2 linked regions of the Daphnia pulex genome follow. The protein of the gene in region 2 interacts with the protein of the main gene of each other region in a pairwise test. Links are inferred from orthologs where the notes say so. Each region holds a gene or a part of one and is shown on either strand. Other genes may lie near its edges.

What was found. The genes of interacting proteins can lie anywhere in the genome.
Region 1: the proteins of ufm1-specific protease 1-like (region 2) and ubiquitin-fold modifier 1 interact in binary tests that used the Drosophila melanogaster proteins (3 or more experiments, as listed by UniProt). The link is inferred for Daphnia pulex from reciprocal best matches to the Drosophila melanogaster genes Ufsp1 and Ufm1.

Annotation. Positions count from the first base shown.
Region 1 is NC_060024.1:5,730,268-5,734,070, forward strand, and holds ubiquitin-fold modifier 1, read left to right. Parts: upstream 1-1,277; 5' UTR 1,278-1,385; coding exon 1,386-1,390; intron 1,391-1,453; coding exon 1,454-1,516; intron 1,517-2,885; coding exon 2,886-3,016; intron 3,017-3,143; coding exon 3,144-3,214; 3' UTR 3,215-3,279; downstream 3,280-3,803. Other genes in the region: coronin-7-like, read right to left, coding at 3,743-3,751. UniProt on the Drosophila melanogaster protein: Ubiquitin-like modifier which can be covalently attached via an isopeptide bond to substrate proteins as a monomer or a lysine-linked polymer.
Region 2 is NC_060025.1:7,120,336-7,123,350, reverse strand, and holds ufm1-specific protease 1-like, read left to right. Parts: upstream 1-1,355; 5' UTR 1,356-1,481; coding exon 1,482-1,607; intron 1,608-1,689; coding exon 1,690-1,869; intron 1,870-1,959; coding exon 1,960-2,175; intron 2,176-2,210; exon of another isoform or gene 2,211-2,277; coding exon 2,278-2,427; 3' UTR 2,428-2,503; downstream 2,504-3,015. Other genes in the region: longitudinals lacking protein, isoforms F/I/K/T-like, read left to right, coding at 1-230, 587-855; uncharacterized protein LOC124203074, read right to left, coding at 2,591-2,808, 2,901-3,015. UniProt on the Drosophila melanogaster protein: Thiol protease which recognizes and hydrolyzes the peptide bond at the C-terminal Gly of UFM1, a ubiquitin-like modifier protein bound to a number of target proteins.

The DNA of each region.
Region 1 (3,803 bases), on a different chromosome or scaffold from region 2:
AGTTATACATTGTGTATATAATATCGAGCACCGGAAAGAATCGAATGTCGTGCTGCATGGGCCTATATAATATAGCGCAACTTTCATACACACATTTATAACGTCTCTTTTGTATATTTACATGCAGAGTGTTGATGCTGTGCTGGTGGATGTATCTAGCCTATATTTTTCTCGACATGAATAACCTAAACAACATCGTTGTTCAGCTTATGTGTACAGCATCCCTCGCCTTTTTTATGTATTCTTATTCTTGTCTCTTTTTCGACTTGATCCAAAGTGGCAAAGTGTCTTTTCTCGACTATAGGAAATCGGGTGCTGGGAGGGTGGCCCAGCACACATCCTTTTTGTTATAGGCTATACATATTCGTTTTAGCTTTTTAGATTTTATCCATTGAAAGAAACAAAAAACAAAGAAAGGCCAGCAGCAGCGGAAGTCCGTAATACGTAACACTCGACAGATGTATGTCTATGTACAAAGAGCCGAAAATATAATACGTAACAAACTGCATTTGAGCGGATTAAGTCGACATGAAAGATGGAAAATATCTAAGGAATAAAATATAAAAAACAAAAAAATGGAATTTAAATATATTTTATTTTTTGTTTGGGTTCCGATTTGCATGTCCTCTTATATTTTCCATGTTGGAATTATAAAAAGAAAAAAGTTTTTTTATTTTTTTCCCCAAATGCTGCTGCTGCCGCTGTAGGCCTTTTCTATATGTATGCATCAGCACTTAGACGGGCCACTCTCGGACGCGTAAATCCTTGGTTTAAGAGCACACACACATGCACACAGGAGCCAACATCTACAACGACATGCCGGGGCTCCTTTTGTACACACATCACAGCACACACTTTTATATATTCACAGCTAGCTGTGCTATATGCGGCACAAAAGTTTAATACAACGACCCTTTTTTCTTATACATCTAATACCGCGATGCTCTCGCACTATTTACCTTTTTTCTTCTGGGTTTTTCCGAGATTTATGGAAGGCTCAACTCTCTCTCTCTGGAGGAAAAATATAGTCGAGATTTAGAATCTTTTGCACCGAAAAAGTTGATTATTTGTCTTTTATATGCCCAGTTTTATTTTGTAACCGAATTGGTCTTCTTTCTACCCCCAGGCCAAAAGTAAATAAAAGTAATCTATTGAAACAATAGTTTTTTTATGCGTGTTGAAATCATTCAGATTTAACTGGATATATTTGAAAGGGATTTTCTAGAAATAATTGAAAGAGATTTGGGGGAAAATTGGAATTATAGAAATTTGGCAATGTCGTTTGACAACCTGTTTCTCGCCAACAGCTCACAGCTGTCAAGTTGACGACTGGTGTCGAAGAACATTTTCTCATTTTATTCTGTTTATAAATATATATACTCAAAATGAGGTAATCAAAATGGCAATTCTAATTTTATTTTTCAAATTTTTATTAACATTTTCTATTATGCAGCGGCAGCGGTAAAGTCACTTTCAAGATCACGTTGACGTCCGATCCGAAGCTCCCTTTCAAAGTGTAAGTTGCCACCGAAAACTTTTGGTTTAGCTCTCGTTTTGAAACAATATGCCGTCCGTCGGCGAAATGGTCGATCGTTGTCGGGTTTTCCTTGTGGACATTCTGCCACAAGCGGCCGTCAGTGTGTCATGGACTTTGGAAAACACAGAGAAGGCATTCAACTGGGCCAAGTACTGCCAGGACATGCACGATTCCCTGGCCAAATCAGGTCACATCCAAGAGCTGGAGGAGGAGCTGGTCAGGATCGGTGAAACAACGGGGAAGCACTCTGTCTTCCAACGTGCCAACCTGAGGATAGCCCCTCTGCTGCTGCTGGAAGAGTTCCTTCGCAACCCAGACATCACGGAAGAGTCAATGCTCTGGGTCATGAAGGCCATGAGCAATGTCTTCCCTCCAGAGAAGTTCCAGGCCATCTGCTCGAGTGCTGTAGAGAGGAAGTCCCTGTATGAGAGTGCCATCAGCTTGATCCAATCGGGGAAGGACAGCCAGACCGTTTCTGTGATGAAGGCCCTGATCATGAAGGAGGACTTGCTGCGAGATCTCAATCCTGTAATCCTGGAAGCCAAATTGGATCCGTTACTGAAATCCGTGCAGACGACGGAATTGCTGCTGACAGTCTTCAGTTTGACTTGCGAAGGTCGGACGCTCCCCGAGGTCAGACTGGGCCAGCTGATGATTCAAGCCATTGAAACTCGTGCCCGCAATTGGCTGGAAAATTGCGCCCCGGGTGGTCTAGGTGGTGGCCGCCCGTCTGCTACGATCAGCGCCCTGTTGGCCGTCCCGGTAGTGCTGAGCCGCAAGGTGTGCGAAATGAGCCCCGATTTCCTCCACTCTTGGCTGGACATACTGGGCCTGCTGGCCAGCCATTTGATTCCCGTCTATTACAGCCAGGACCACGTTTGGAGTTGGCCCGGAGATGATGACGACCATGGCGGAGTAGGCCAATCTTCCAGCGACAGCCGCTTTCGGGGTCTGTGGTTCTCGCTCGATCAATTGGTCCGTCACATGCAAAGCCTCTGCACTCCTCCTCCTCTTTGCATTGGGTTTAATGAGGATCACGTGACCTCGGAAGCTCGCCAGTTCCTCGATCGTCAGAAACAGTTGGCCGGCCTCTGCTCCATCTGGATGGAAGTGGAGCAGCGATTATCGATCAAGACCCCCAATTAAAAATAACGAATATTCACCGAACGACCTCCGAGCCATTCCGTCGTTCGCTCCTTTGTACAACCGAAACTTTTTTCTACTCCCTTTTTGTAACTAATGGTCATTAAAGTCAAAATAATAGTTTGAATACATCAGCTATTAAAATTTAAAATTTTTTTTTGTTTGGTCTATTAACCGGATGAATTATTTTATTTTATTTCTTTAGGCTGAGCGTTCCGGAAGCCACGCCTTTCACGGCCGTGCTCAAATTCTCGGCCGAAGAATTCAAAGTCGATCCGGCCACGTCGGCCATCATCACCGACGACGGAATTGGCATCAATCCACAACAAACTGCCGGTCAGTTTCGTGTGTGAAAAACATAACAATTTACGCCGATTGCCTTTTAACCTTTTTCTCTCCTTTTTTATTTTTATTTTATGGCCTTTTGGAAATAACATTTGATCCCTGGTCCACCCATTTAAAGGTAATGTCTTCCTCAAACACGGCTCGGAATTGAGGCTGATCCCTCGCGACCGCGTCGGTAATCGCATCTAAAAACTTAAACAAAAAAAAAATTAAACTAAAAGAAAAAATCTGAAATAAAAGTTTATCAAATTGTTTTTCCAATGATGTAATTTTTTTTTTCGTTTTATTATTTTTAATTTTTGCGCCCTTTTTTTGTTGTTTCGAAAGTTTTGAAGAAATAGAGGCAAAATATTGAGAAAAAGACATTGGCACGGATACAGACGAGATGGGGGGGAGGAAAACAAGCTATGACGTAATCGACGCACGAAGAAAGCTCAATTATCTGATGAGAGCAACGATCACAAAAACACTCAAAAACTGATTAAAGACGAAAATAAAGACGTCGAGAAAACAAATTAAAGAGTTTTGGGTTTAGGGACACAAAAGAAAAAAAAAATGGGAAAATTATTATTATGATTTTTAATTAATTTTACGTTTCCATTGGATATGATTATGACGCTGAAAGTCTAAGAAGAAGAAGAGAAGCCATTCAATTGTTTTTTTCCTTTTTTATTTCCGGTTGATCCCCGCAAGCCATCCAGCTGTTGGAATGGTTCGTTAATTATCCTATTGAAAAATGGAGAGAAAATAATGAAAAAAGATGAAAAGAAATGGGGAG
Region 2 (3,015 bases):
ACCGATGAACCAAGAAACTAGATTTGAATCAGCAATGAACACCATGCAACCCGAAACAGAATCATTGACACAAAATTCAAGTATTAATTCTGGCCAAGAGCTGGAGGACGACGAACTAGATTTATTTCAGCATTGCGGAGTCAACAATGTCAATAACCATCATAACAATCACCTGCACCATCCTGGACCATCTCGGCTGTCTGCAGAAGAACTTCATTCATCTGGTCAAGGTAAATTCCGAAACAAATTAGTAAACTTATTTTCTTTAGAAAGAGGACAGAAAAGGTAGCGCAAAATTATGACAGTCATTATGTGTCACACCCATATGGGAACTGGAATTAGCCGACCAATTCAATGTGGTGTTACGGCAAAATTTAAATGCCCACTCTGTGGGAAACGTTCTCGGCTTAAGCATTACCTGGTCGAACACATTTCCGGAACGCTAGATCATTGTCGTCGTTTTCCCTTCTATATTTCCCACCAACCAGGGGGTGGGAGGCGGGCTCAAAATTTGAAATGGGTTGACACCAATTAGTATTTGCGGTTACAACTTACTTTGTTTCTAACCTGTTCTGCTATTTTCTAGATTTACTGGTCGAACACATGGCCTGGGGGTCGGTCCACAACGGGTCAGTCGATAATCACCATCTTCATCATCACGATCCCGATCCTGGACCTGGTCGTCATTCGTGTCCTAGATGCGGCCGAACGTACAAATGGAAACAGACTTTATTGCGGCATGTGAAATACGAATGTGGCGTGGAACCTCAGTTTATCTGTCCAATCTGTCGGGCACCCTTTCATCACCGGAATGTTCTGCAGAGACACATGAATTTGCACAGTAGACCCAAGTGATGCTGTAACTAAAATTAGGAGCTTACTAAACTACTTCTGTTCTGAGAAGCCACCAAATGTTATCACTGAGAAATATGTCAACTAAGATTTGCCATGTGTAGCCAAATAAAGTACATTTGTTACCATTCTCAATTCGAGAGTTATTTTATATCGTTTTTATCTAATTTATTGTGTACAACAGGTTTATTTTTGTTCACTCTAGCGAATTAGAAACTTACCAAACTATTTCGAGTTCAACACTTCCAAAGAAAATCAAGTTCTTTGAATATATTTGCTGCGTCATTATTTTTATTTAACAGCGGATTTGTATGCGTATGCTGTGTGCACTTATGTATATCAGATGAGCGCATATTGTTGAGTTTTCAGTTTCTATTTGGAAGTTATTTTTTGTGTGCTGCACGGACTTTCTCTTTCGTGTATAAAGTTATAGGTTCATGGGTTCATTAACCAAACGTATCGGATTTTTGAACTAGAAACTATCGACGGTGTAGTTTATAGCAGACGAATTCGTTTGAGTTGTTTTCCTTCGTTTCACACACACAACCCCAACTGTTTGAATCGAACGTAAAGTGAATACGTAATTTCCTCACGTTTTGGCAAGCTTATCAAATCGAGTTTTCTCAGAAATGAATTTGCTGTCGAACGTACATTTAGGATTGAGCGATCCAACCTCGAATCCCCAAAGGACGACCCACATCATCACGAACGATTATCAGTATTATCATTACAAATGCGATGGTTTTGATGATGTGGTGAGGCATCATCATATTATGCAGTGTGGGAGTAAACTCTTGAATTTTTCTTTGACCTCATTACATGATGTTACATACGCAGGGATGGGGTTGTGGATACAGAACTCTCCAGACCATTGCCTCCTACCTTTCACTCCAGCAGCAGCCAGGTAAAAAAGCTGGACAAGTTCCAAGTCTCAAGGAAATTCAAGAAACACTAGTTGCCATTGAAGATAAGAAGAAATCTTTTGTAGGATCAAGAGAATGGATTGGAAGTTTTGAAGTATGTTGGCACAATTCCACATTAATATATAATAATGTTTCAGATTTGAAATCTAATTTGAATTCCCTGACCATATTTTCTATTTCACAGGTGTGTTTAGTAATTGACAAGCTTTTTGATGTTCCCTGCAAAATTCTCCATTGTCCTTCTGGTGAAAATGCAATGACAGACATTTTTCCAAAGTTGGAAGAACACTTTGCCAAATCATCCGCCCGACCAATTATGATGGGCGGTGATCACGATGCTTCTTCTAAAGGAGTCCTCGGTACTTGTTGCGTCGACAATGACCACTGGCTGCTGGTTCTGGTGAGAGAAATAAATTTCTAAAAATGTCTTGTGTGTACATAGCTGAAATGTTTGTATTGTACTAGATCTGTTTTTTCTTTTTTCGGATGTGTGTCTATATAGGACCCTCATTATTACCACCAACGAGGACAACATCAAACATCTGCTGTCAAACTCCAGAAAGAAGGATACGTCAGATGGACACACACGAGTGAATTTGACAAGCAATCATTTTACAATATATGTCTCCCTCAATTCAACAGCAGCAGCTAGCGACGTATAATATATGTACAATATTATGACATTATTGTTATGGTATCCGGAAAAAAATATAATGTATGCGTGTAAATCATGCGTTAATTTTAGGTATCACTTTTTAAGGTAGATGCGAATAGTTAAGAAATAAAATAAGCTTTTAAAAAAAAACTAAATTGAGTTATTTGGGTGAAATGCTGAGCTCTTCAATCAGTCGCGTTACGAACAACATAAAGGCGGGTAAAAAGAGAAACGTAATCAAGATGGACGAGTCTCCGGGCCGACTTGCGGAAGAAGAAGAAGCGACAACTCGTTCAGGTGAAGATGCTCTTTTAGCCGTAGATGATGATGTTGCTTCCACCGGATCGTTCCAGATTTTGATGGCTTTCCACGTCCCGGCTGCCGACGACGAATGGAATAAGAGAAAGTGAAAAATGATAATATTTGGTTATTATATTATTCCGTAGCAATTGCGATGTCATCTCACTTACTTCCAAGTGATTTAGGACGAGGAGAGAGCGACTGAACAACTTCCACCCGTTGATTGTTGGTCGAGTCAGGTGGATGAACGTCGTACGCCCGTCCGTCTCTCTCCGCCGCCGCCGT